3 linked regions of the Macaca mulatta genome follow. The main gene of each other region encodes a partner of the protein of the gene in region 2 in a complex. Links are inferred from orthologs where the notes say so. Each region holds a gene or a part of one and is shown on either strand. Other genes may lie near its edges. The genes, in order: CALR3, CELF1 and CALR.

What was found.
Region 1: CELF1 (region 2) and CALR3 share a complex: the UniProt entries of both Homo sapiens proteins name them as parts of the EIF2 complex. The link is inferred for Macaca mulatta from reciprocal best matches to the Homo sapiens genes CELF1 and CALR3.
Region 3: CELF1 (region 2) and CALR share a complex: the UniProt entries of both Homo sapiens proteins name them as parts of the EIF2 complex. The link is inferred for Macaca mulatta from reciprocal best matches to the Homo sapiens genes CELF1 and CALR.

What each region holds. Positions count from the first base shown.
Region 1 is NC_133424.1:16,990,799-16,995,086, forward strand, and holds the start of CALR3 (calreticulin-3), read right to left. Parts: upstream 2,846-4,288; 5' UTR 2,771-2,845; coding exon 2,680-2,770; intron 2,495-2,679; coding exon 2,393-2,494; coding exon of another isoform or gene 2,387-2,392; intron 1-2,386. UniProt on the Homo sapiens protein: During spermatogenesis, may act as a lectin-independent chaperone for specific client proteins such as ADAM3. Required for sperm fertility. CALR3 capacity for calcium-binding may be absent or much lower than that of CALR.
Region 2 is NC_133419.1:18,109,596-18,113,228, forward strand, and holds part of CELF1 (CUGBP Elav-like family member 1), read left to right. Parts: intron 1-22; coding exon 23-105; intron 106-464; coding exon 465-513; intron 514-3,100; coding exon 3,101-3,235; intron 3,236-3,633. UniProt on the Homo sapiens protein: RNA-binding protein implicated in the regulation of several post-transcriptional events. Involved in pre-mRNA alternative splicing, mRNA translation and stability.
Region 3 is NC_133424.1:13,507,765-13,511,899, reverse strand, and holds the end of CALR (calreticulin precursor), read right to left. Parts: intron 1,547-4,135; exon of another isoform or gene 1,498-1,546; coding exon 1,405-1,497; intron 1,328-1,404; coding exon 1,127-1,327; 3' UTR 556-1,126; downstream 1-555. UniProt on the Homo sapiens protein: Calcium-binding chaperone that promotes folding, oligomeric assembly and quality control in the endoplasmic reticulum (ER) via the calreticulin/calnexin cycle.

The sequences.
Region 1 (4,288 bases), on a different chromosome or scaffold from region 2:
ACAAATGATCCCAAACTTCTACACTTCAGAACACTGACTTCTATTCTTTGGAATCTGTGTTTTCCATACAGTTGTCCTCAAACTTTGAGCTTGAATTAGCTCTCTTTAAGCTAGATTTTTTTTTTTTGGAGACAGAGTCTTGCTCTGTTGCCCAGGCTATAGTGGCAAGATCTTGACTCACTGTAACCTCTGCCTCTCGGGTTCATGTGATTCTCCTGCCTCACCCTCCCAAGTAGCTGGGATTACAGGTGTGCGCCACCACGCTTGGCTAATTTTTTTGTATTTTTGTAGAGACCCGGTTTCACCATGTTGGCTAGGCTGGTCTCAAGCCCCTGACCTCAAGTAATCCACCCGCCTTGGCCTCCCAACGTGCTGGGATTACAGGCAGGAGCCACCGTGCCTGACCATATTTTTCTTTTTTTTTTTTTTTAGATGGAGTCTCACTCTGTCACTGAGGCTGGAGCACAGTGGCACGATCTCTACTCACTGCAACCTCTGCCTCCCGGGTTCAAGCGATTCTTCTGCCTCAGCCTCCCGAGTAGCTGGGACTACAGGCATGCACCACCACACCCAGCTAATTTTTGTATTTTTAGTAGAGATGGGGTGTCACCATATTGGCCAGACTGGTTTGAAACTCCTGACCTCATGATCCTCCTGCCTAAGGCCTCCCAAAGTGCTGAGATTAAGGTGTGAGCCACCATGCCCGGCCTATTTTTTTAAATGCAAAAATTAAAATGAGAAAAAGCACCCACTAATCTTTTCCTTCTGAGGGGCGTGGCCCTTGATCCTCAAATGCACTTGACTAGTGTTTATTAAGAGGGACAACTTTGGTAATGCCTACTAATAACACATTCATATAAATATAATCCAAAGAAGGTTAAATACCATTGCATATTTGACAGTGCTTCAGGTATGATTTTATTATACCAAATAAGCTGAATATGTCTCCTTGGACTTCAGAGGACCTAATACCAACTCACGCCTATAATCCCAGCACTTTAGGAGGCCGAGGCAGGTGGATTACTTGAGGCCAGGAGTTTGAGACCAGCCAGAGCAACGTGGTGAAACTCTGTCTCTAAAAAAATTAGCAGGGCGTAGTGGCACGCGCTTGTAATCGCAGCTTCTCGGAAGCCTGAAGCAAGAGAATCGCTTGAATTCGGGAGGCGGCGGTTTGAGTGAGCCAAGATCGTGCCATTGGCCGGGCGCGGTGGCTCAAGCCTGTAATCCTAGCACTTTGGGAGGCCGAGACAGGCGGATCACGAGGTCAGGAGATCGAAACCATCCTGGCTAACACGGTGAAACCCCGTCTCTACTAAAAAGTACAAAAAACTAGCCGGGCGAGGTGGCGGGAGGGCCGGTAGTCCCAGCTACTCGGGAGGCTGAGGCAGGAGAACGGCGTAAACCCGGGAGGCGGAGCTTGCAGTGAGCTGAGATCCGGCCAGCCTGGGTGACAGAGCAAGACTCCGTCTCAAAAAAAAAAAAAAAAAAAAAAAAAAAAGATCGTGCCACTGCACTCTAGCTGGGTGACACAGAGTGAGACTCCTACTCAAAAAAAAAAAAAAAAAAAAAAAAAAAAAAAAAAAAAAGGCCGGGCGCGGTGGCTCACGCCTGTAATCCCAGCACTTTGGGAGGCCGAGGCGGACGGATCACAAGGTCAGGAGATCGAGGCCACGGTGAAACCCCGTCTCTACTAAAAATACAAAAAATTAGCCGGGCGCGGTTGCGGGCGCCTGTAGTCCCAGCTACTCGGGAGGCTGAGGCAGGAGAATGGCGGGAACCCGGGAGGCGGAGCTTGCAGTGAGACGAGATCGCGCCACTGCACTCCAGCCACGGGGACAGAGCGAGACTCCGTCTCAAAAAAAAAAAAAAAAGTAATCTTCGGCAATAAAGAAAGGAGAGAGGAGGCTGGGTGCAGTGGCTCATGCCTGTAATCTCAGCACTTTGGGTGGCCAAGGCGGGTGGATCACGAGGTCAGGAGTTCGAGACCAGCCTGGCCAACGTGGACCCTGTCTCTACTAATAAGTACAAAAATTAGCTGGTCACAGTGGCGCGCGCCTGTAGTCTCAGCTACTCGGGAGGCCGAGGCAGGAGAATTGCTTGAACCCGGGAAGTGGAAGTTGCAGTGAGCTGAGATCGCACCAGTGCACTCCAGCCTGGGCAACAGAGCAAGGCCCCATCTCAAAAAAAAAAAAAAAAAGAAAGAAAGAAAGAAAGAAAAGAGAGAGGAAACAAAAAACAAGGGTAAGGAGCCCTTTTGCCTTAAGTTCTACCTTTGCCTTAAGGTCTCATCTGTAAATCGGGAATAAAAGCGTTTGGCTGTGCCACAACTACCTTGAGAGGGTGCTATGGAGATGTAACATTAGGCTCAGTTTGGTCCTGATTCTACACTAACCTTTATCTTTCTCTTTATGACCATAAAACTTCCCCGACGAAAGTCTAAAATGCCCAAATCGGGAGTCATTGGTGGACTGCACCCATCGGTTTCTCCAATGCTCTGTGGGGAGGGGGAAATAACACCGGTTAGAGGTGATAATGGTTAATTTGGCCTAAGGGAAGGGTGAGGGGGACCCTCGAGGATTCGAGAGTTCGCTGCCGTCGACCTCGCGACGACTCTGCCCAGCCTTGGGGGGGCAGATGGGGGAGCTTACACCTCTGCCACTAAGGGCGTGGCCCCTTCACCTCCGTCTAGAAATTCCTCTTGGAAATAGACGGTAGCCAGCGCCACTCGCAGCATGCAGATGCCCCAGAGGGGCACCCGAACCCCGGCCATGGGGGTTTGCACTGCGCTTCCGGTCGCCACCGCCCCTTAGCTCCCGGCGCTCTCTGCGGCTCTTCAGGCGAGTCCTGAAACTACAACTCCCGTCACAACTCGCGATTATGACCTGAGGGTCCCATTGGTAGCTGCGGCGCTGGGCACGTCGGGTCCACCAGAGAACTACCGCTCCCATGATGCCTCGCGATTGTGATTCGGGACGCCATTGGTCTGCGGGACGCGGTGCTTGCCGGGAGATGTAGTCTCTTCTGCTCTGGCTCTGTTGCTCAGGGCAACCGGTCCCTCAGGCCTGAATGTGGCGGCTGCCTCTGCGAATGGACGGCGTGGGAGGAGGTCGGCAGCGCTGGTGGGGAGGTGACCTGGCTGGGCGTCCGGGCTCGCGAGGGGGATACGGGGAAATGGGGCCTTCTCCGTGGCTGAGCTGGTTGGGCAGCTGCAGGATGGTCCCGCGCCTCAGTCTCCCTGCCTGGAGTCTATTGGAGCGTGGTCCTGGGCGGGTCGCTTCATAGCTGGGGAGAAGAGCAGGATGGTCTGAGGGGCGCCAGGGTTTTCAAATTTTGGTTTGTTGGTTTTTAACGACTTTGTTGAGCCTTTATTTACATACCATAGTGTTCGCCACTTTTAAGCTGACGACTCCGTTATTTTTAGTAAATCTACAAAGCTGTGAAGTCGTCGCCATCATCCAGTTCATCCAGCTTTAGAACTTCGCGTCAGGCGGGGTGTGGTGGCTCACGCCTGGAATCCCAGCACTTTGGGAGGCAAAGGCGGGAGGATCACTTGAGGCCAGGAGATCCAGACCAGCCTGGGCAACATGGCGACACCCCATCTCTCAAAAAGATAAAAATAAAAAATTAGCCAGGTGTAGTGGCTCGCGTCTACAGTCCTAGCTACTCGGGATGTTGAGGCGGGAGCAGGATTGCTTGTGTCTGGAAGGTCAAAGCTGCTGTGAGCTGTGATCATGCCACTGCACTCTGGCTAATTTTTTGTATTTTTAGTAGAGATGGGGTTTCACCATGTTTGCTACATTGATCTTGAGCTCCTGACCTCACGTGATCTGCCAGCCTTGGCCTCCCAAAGTGCTGGGATTATAGGCGTGAGCCACAGCACCGGCCTGATCTGCTTTCTGAGTTTATTGGTTTGCATTTTCTTGACAGTTCTTACAGATGAAATGATAGGGTGTGTGGAGTTTAGTGTCTGGCTCCTTTTTTTAAATTTTTTTTTGAGGCAGAGTCGCGCTCTGTCACCCAGGCTGGAGTGCAATGGCGTGATCTCAGCTCACTGCAAACTCCTCCTCCCACGTTCAAGCAATTCTCCTGCCTCAGCGTCCTGAGTAGCTGGGATTACAGGCGCAGACCACCATGCCCCGCTAATTTTTGTATTTTTAGTAGAGACGGGGTTTCACCATGTGGGTCAGGCTGGTCTCGAACTCCTGACATCGTGATGCACCTGCCTCGGTCTCCCAAAGTGCTGGGATTACAGGCGTGAGTCACCGGGCCCGGCTTGGCTACTTTCCCT
Region 2 (3,633 bases):
TATGAAATCTTATTTATTGCAGGGTGCTGTTTTGTTACATTTTACACCCGTAAAGCTGCATTAGAAGCTCAGAATGCTCTTCACAACATGAAAGTCCTTCCAGGGGTAAGAAAGCTCCCACTAGTAAATGGAAATGTGGTAACTTTGATATATGGGATATACTTACACATATCAGGCACACACTGAAAACCATTTTGGGGAAAAGGTAATTTCCGCAGGAACTGATGTAAAGGAAGACATAAAGGGAGCACTTCAAAGATTACCTGACAGTAGTTCTCTCTCAGCCAAGAGTCTTGTGTATTTGACTTCTTGACTCACCTTTCATTTTCTGGGGAAAGATCATGAAGCAGACATGAGTTCAGAGAGAACTCTTTAAAGCTCTAGTTCTGGTATTTTAGAGTCTGTATGTATTTCTGAATGCCATTAATATATACAGTGATAATAATCATATTTTTCCTTTTTAGATGCATCACCCTATACAGATGAAACCTGCTGACAGTGAGAAGAACAATGGTAAGCAAATGTATACACTCTTCCCCTTAAGATTTTCTGCCTAGGCCAGGCGTGGTGGCTCACACCTGTAATCCCAGCTCTTTGGGAGGCCAAGGCTGGTGGATTGCTTGAGGTTGAGGCTGGAGTTCGAGACCAGCCTGGCCAACATGGTGAAACCCCGTCTCTGCTAAAAATACAAACATTAGCTGGGTATGGTTGTGCATGTCTATAATCCCAGCTTCTCAGGAGGCTGAAGCATGAGAATCTCTTGAACCCAGGAGGCGGAGGTTGCAGCGAGCCGAGATCATGCCAGTGTATTCCCACCTGGGCAACAGAGTGAGACTCTGTCTCAAAAAATAATTAAAAAAAAGAAGATTTCTGCCTAGTTTATTTGCTTTTCTTAGGATATCTGAATGGAATTGTGCTTTAAGTAATCCGTTGTCTGAGTTGTGTCAGTTTTTTCTTTAAAGTCTGATAAATAGAAAAACAGAGTTGAGGCCGGGCGCGGTGGCTCAAGCCTGTAATCCCAGCACTTTGGGAGGCCGAGACGGGCGGATCACGAGGTCAGGAGATCGAGACCATCCTGGCTAACACGGTGAAACCCCGTCTCTACTAAAAAAAATACAAAAAAACTAGCCGGGCGAGGTGGCGGGCGCCTGTAGTCCCAGCTACTCGGGAGGCTGAGGCAGGAGAATGGCGTGAACCCGGGAGGCGGAGCTTGCAGTGAGCTGAGATCCGGCCACTGCAGTCCAGCCTGGGCAACAGAGCGAGACTCCGTCTCAAAAAAAAAAAAAAAAAAAGAAAAACAGAGTTGACAGAGAAATATTATAAGAACATTGTAGAATGAACTGGAGTATGCTTGGTCAGTATAATATCTTTTGGACAGGAATGAGGGGGCAACATGAACAAATTAGGAAGGAGAACTTAATTCTCAGGAAAATAGTCAAGTCTGGGTGACGTAGCTCATGCTTGTAATCCCAGCACTTTGGGAGGCCAAAGAGGGCGAATCACCTGGCCAACATGGTGAAACCCCGTCTCTACTAAAAATGCGAAAATTAGCTGAGTGTGGTGGCGCATGCCTGTAATCCCAGCTACTCAGGAGGCTGAGACAGGAGAATCGCTTGAACCCAGGAGGCGGCGGTTGCAGTACGCTGAGATTATGCCACTGCGCTCCAACCTGGGCAACAGAGCAAGACTGTGTCTCAAAAAAAAGAAAAAAAAGTCAGAAAAGTAGACAGTTACACTCACTGAAAGGTGTGTTCTCTTCCACTTGTCATATCAAGTAAGTGTGAAAACCTCTTCTTTCTTTAGTAGTGTTGCTAGTAAGAGCAAACAATGCTGGCTGGGCACAGTGGCGCACACCTATAATCACAGCACTTTAATAGGCTGAGGCTGGAGGATTGTTTGAGCCCAGGAGTTTGAGACCAACCTTGGTAATAAGAGTGAGATCTCTCTGCAAAAAATTGACTGGGTGTGGTGGTACATACCTGTGGTCCCAGCTATTCAGGAAGCTGAGGTGGGAAGATTGCTTAAATCCAGCAGGTCAAGGCTGCAGTGAGCCATGATCATGCCACTGCACTTCAACCTGGGTGACAGTGAGACTCTTGTCTCAAAAAGAGCAAACAATTACAAAGGACTAGGGAAGATGCCAAGTACTTTGCATTTAATAGCAACTGCTACCCTTTGAAGTAAACCTGATTATTCCTATTAGTTAGATGAGGAAACAGGCACAGAATGGTTAAGTAACTTTCACAAGATTACAAAGCTACCACATTTCATCTAAATGCTTCTAATTATAATTTTAAGATAATGTTGGTTATAAGGAGAGATGTGAAGCCGGGCATGGTGGCTCACGCCTGTAACCCCAGCACTTTGAGAGGCCGAGGCGGGTGGATCACCTGAGATCAAGAGTTCAAGACCGGGCCGGGCGCGGTGGCTCAAGCCTGTAATCCCAGCACTTTGGGAGGCCGAGACGGGCGGATCACGAGGTCAGGAGATCGAGACCATCCTGGTTAACACAGTGAAACCCCGTCTCTACTAAAAAATACAAAAAACTAGCCGGCCGAGGTGGCGGACGCCTGTAGTCCCAGCTACTCGGGAGGCGGAGGCAGGAGAATGGCGTGAACCTGGGAGGCGGAGCTTGCAGTGAGCTGAGATCCGGCCACTGCACTCCAGCCTGGGTGACAGCGCGAGACTCCGTCTCAAAAAAAAAAAAAAAAAGAGTTCAAGACCAGCCTGACCAATATGGAGAAACCGCGTCTCTACTAAAAATACAAAATTAGCCAGGCATGATGGTGCATTCCTGTAATCCCAGCTACTCAGGAGGCTGAGGCAGGAGAATCGCTTGAACCCGGGAGGCAGAGGTTGCGGTGAGCCGAGATCACGCCATTGCACTCCAGTCTGGACAACAGGAGCAAAACTCTGTCTCAAAAAAGGAAAGAAAAGAAATGTGAAAAATATGAAAAACAAATGTGTGTCTTGGAATCTGTAAAATGTGGTATGAAGGCACAGAGCCAGGATTCAAACCCAGGCGGTCTGGCTCCCGAGTCTGTGCCACATTGCCTCTTTTCATAGTAATATTCAAGTCTTTTGTGTTTTACTCTCTTAGCAGTGGAAGACAGGAAGCTGTTTATTGGTATGATTTCCAAGAAGTGCACTGAAAATGACATCCGAGTCATGTTCTCTTCATTTGGACAGATTGAAGAATGCCGGATATTGCGGGGACCTGATGGCCTGAGCCGAGGTAGATACAGTTTTAGCTTTTAAATAATCTTTTGGTTTTTTTATTTTGGTTTGGTTTGGGGTTTTTTTTTGGAGACAGGGTCTTGGTCTATCTCACCCAGGCTGGAGTGCAGTGGTGCCTTCACAACTCATTGCAGCCTGAACCTCCCAGAATCAGCCTCCTGAGTAGCTGGGACCACAGGCATGTATCACGACACCCAGCTAATTTTTAAATTTTTTAGAGAGAGAAGGTTTCCCTGTGTTGCCCAGGCTGGTCTTGAACTCCTGGACTCAAAGGATCCTATCATCTTGGCCTCCCATAGTGCTGGGATTATAGGTGTGAGCCACTGCACCAGCCTTGGAATCTTTTTAATTGGACCAGTGGAAACTAGCCACAGTGATTCCCTAGCCAACATGGTC
Region 3 (4,135 bases), on a different chromosome or scaffold from region 2:
GAATGAACCTACTATTTTAATTCCTGGGTCTCCCGCCAGGAGTACTTTGTTGTACTATCCCCAATCTGACCCCAAAAGTATTTAAAGATGTTAACTTTCAAAGCCTCACGACATTAAAAACAGAATTCTCCCTTGGATCTGCCAGTCCTAGAGGCATCCCAGAGGGGTTGGGCTGAGCCACAGGACCCCAAAGGAATAGAAGCATGAAGAAGGCCAGTTTAAGAGGGTGAACCAGATTAAGCCATTGTAGGCCAGCCTGGGCAACAGAGCAACAGTCTATCCTAAAAATAAAACCAATAAACAGAACCAAAACTTACCAGTTAGGTTCAAGGATTCAGTAAATTAATATGTGGAGTATTTACGGCAGCAACAGTCATTCTCCCGTTGGTTTTGAGGGTTATGGGGTAAATACGGGTCCCTGGAATCTTGTGGAACAGTCAGTAACCTCTCTAGCAACAGCTGAAAAAGGAGATATACTGGAAACCCTCCCCACCCCCAAAAAGACCACTGCTGGGTTTCCTGAAGTCTGTCTTTCCCCAAAAGGAGACACAGGAGGGAGACACAAAACTTAATTTAATAGAAATTTTGTTTGTAGTTCTTACATTCTCAGTGTGAGCCAATCTGGGACCCACTGCCCCACCCAGAAGTGGCCCAGTCCTGGGGGCAGGGGAGAAAGGGCGGGGTGAAATGAGAAGAGCCCCATTCTTCCTCAGTGCTGGGGGGTTGGAGACACCACCCCCTTCTCCTGCCCCCCTCTGGGCTCCAGGAAGGAGAGCAGATGAAATTTCAGGCCTGCAGCTTCTCCACACCACTGCCCCCCAGGTTGGAGGGGAGCTAAAAGATATGGAGAGAGAAGGGGACAGAGGCAAGAAAAGATGTTGATCAAGAAAGATGAGAACCAGGGGTGAGGGCTGAAGGAGAATCAAAGATAAAACACCAGTTAAAAAAAAAAAGGCGGGGGGCGGGGGGGAACAGTGGAGGAGGGGACAAAACCAAAATCCACCCCAAATCCGAACCAGCCTGGAAAAAAATGAAAGTTCTCGAGTCTCACAGAGACATTATTTGGCGCGGCCAGCTCTGCGGCAGGAGCGCTCAGGCCTCAGTCCAGCCCTGGAGGCAGGCCTCTCTACAGCTCATCCTTGGCCTGGCCGGGGACATCTTCCTCCTCATCTTCCTCCTTGTCCTCCTCATCCTCCTCATCCTCATCTTTGTCCTCATCGTCCTCCTTGTCTTCTGCCTCCTCCTCCTCTTTGCGCTTCTTGTCTTCTTCCTCCTCCTTAAGCCTCTGCTCCTCGTCCTGTTTGTCCTTCATTTGTTTCTCTGCTGCCTGCAGGCAGAGCACACACCTCAGGGCCTTGCACCCTGCCTTCCCTGCCCGCCCCCCACATCAGGACCAGGACTCACCTTTGTCACGCCCCACGTCTCATTGCCAAACTCCTCGGCGTATGCCTCATCGTTGGTGATAAGGAAGTTGTCAAAGATGGTGCCAGACTTGACCTGGAGGATGAATGGAAGGATGGTCAGAGGTGACACCCGATAGCCCTTCCTTTGGACAGGGTTTCCACCTGTGTTCCTATAACCACTATACCCTGCTGCCTGCATCTGCAGAGAAGACAAGGAACGCTGCTGACATTGCAGTTAAAAAGATGGAGAGTCCGGGCACGGTGGCTCACACCTGTAATCCTCACCCAGAAGCCAAGGCGGGTGGATCACAAGGTCAGGAGATCGAGACCATCCTGGCTAACACAGTGAAACCCCGTCTCTATTAAAAATACAAAAAATTAGCCAGGCGTGGTGGTGGGCGCCTGTAGTCCCAGCTACTCGGGAGGCTGAGGGAGGAGAATGGCGTGAACCCAGGAGGCGGAGTCTGCAGTGAGCGCAGATCGGGCAACTGCACTCCAGCCTGGGCGACAGAGAGAGACTCCATCTCAAAAAAAGATGGAGAGATGGCCAGGCACAGGCTCACGCCTGTAATCCCAGCACTTTGGGAGGCTATGGTGAGCAGATCACTTGAGGCCAGGAGTTCAAGACCAACCTGGGCAACATAGTGAAACCCTGTCTCCACTAAAAAAAAAAAAGCCCGGTGTCTGTGGTGGCACATGCCTGGTATGCCTGTAATCCCAGCTACTCAGGAGGCTGAAGCAGGAGAATCGCTTGAACCTGGGAGGCGGAGGTTGTGGTGAGTCAAGATTGCATCATTGGCCGGGCGCGGTGGCTCAAGCCTGTAATCCCAGCACTTTGGGAGGCCGAGGCGGGTGGATCACGAGGTCAGGAGATCGAGACTATCCTGGCTAACATGGTGAAACCCCGTCTCTACTAAAAATACAGAAAACTAGCCGGGTGTGGTGGCGGGCACCTGTAGTCTCAGCTACTTGGGAGGCTGAGGCGGGAGAATGGCGTGAACCCGGGAGGCGGAGCTTGCAGTGAGCCGAGATCACGCCACTGCACTCCAGCCTGGGAGACACAGCGAGACTCCGTCTCAAAAAAAAAAAAAAAAAAAAAAAAGATTGCATCATTGCACTCCAGCCTGGGCAACAAGAGTGAAATTCCATCTCAAAAAAAAAAAAAAAAAACAACCCAGTGCTGTGGCACATGGCTGTAATTCCAGCTGTTCGAGAGGCTGAGGCCTGAGAATCACTTGAACCTGGAAGGCAGAGACTGCAGTAAGCCGAGATGAAGCCACTGCACTCCAACCTGGGTGACAGAGCAAGACTCTGTCTTTATATTTAAAAAAAAAAAAAAAAAAAAAAAGGATGGAGCGACTCAGGTGTTGTACTGCCTGGGTTCAAACCCCAGCTTTGTGGTTTCCTGCCCCCATGACCTTGGGCTACTGACTTCAGTTCTCTGCACCTGTTTCTTCTGTTTCTCACTCTCTTATATTCAGGTATTTTTCAGGTACCTACTAAATGCCAAGAAATGTCTTGGGCACAGAAGGTATTTCAGTGACCAAAAAAGACAAAAATTCAGTCCCAGCTTTTTTTGAAACAGGGTCTCACTCTGTCACCCAGGCTGGAGTGCAGTGACATGATCATGGCTCACTGCAGCCTCGATGCCCCAGGTTCAAGTATCATCCTCCTTCCTTGGTAGCTTGGACTACAGGTATGCACGACATCTGGCTAATTTTTAAAGTTTTTTGTAGAGGCTAGGCACAGTGGCTCAACCCGTGTAATCCCAGCATTTTGGGAGGCCGAGGCGGGCAGATCACCTGAGGCCAGGAGTTCGAGACCAATCTTGGCAACATGGTGAAGCCCTGTCTCTACCCAAAAAAAAAAAAAAAAAAAAAAAAAAAGGCTGGGTACGGTGGTTCATGCCTGTAATCCCAGCACTTTGGGAGGCTGAGGCTGGTGGATTATGAGGTCAGGAGATCGAGACCATCCTGGCTAACATGGTGAAACCACGTCTCTACTAAAAAAAAAAAAAAAAAAAAAAAAAAATCGGCCGGGCACGGTGGCTCAAGCCTGTAATCCCAGCACTTTGGGAGGCCGAGACGGGCGGATCACGAGGTTAGGAGATCGAGACCATCCTGGCGAACACGGTGAAACCCCGTCTCTACTAAAAAAAAAAATACAAAAAAACTAGCCGGGCGTGCTGGCGGCGCCTGTAGTCCCAGCTACTTGGGAGGCTGAGTCAGGAGAATGGCGGGAACCCGTGGGGCGGAGCTTGCAGTGAGCTGAGATCCGGCCACTGCACTCCAGCCCGGGCAACAGAGCCAGACTCCGTCTCAAAAAAAAAAAAAAAAAAAAAAAAAAAAAAAAAATCAGCCAGGCGTGGTGGCAGGCGCCTGTAGTCCCAGCTACTTGGGAGGCTGAGACAGGAGAATGCCGTAAACCTGGGAGGCGGAGCTTGCAGTGAGCTGAGATCGCACCACTGCACTCCAGCCTGGGCGACAGAGCAAGACTCGGTCTCAAAAACAAAAAACAAACAAATTAGCCTGGCATCCATAGTGGCACATGCCTGTAATCCCAGTTACTGGGGAGGCTGAGGCAGGAGAATCGCTTGAACCCAGCAGGCGAAGGTTGCAGTGAGCTGAGATCGTGCCATTGCACTCGAGCCTCAGCAACAAGAGTGAAACTGCGTCTCAAAAAAAAAAAAAAAAAAGGCCGGGCGCGGTGGCTCAAGCCTGTAATCCCAGCAC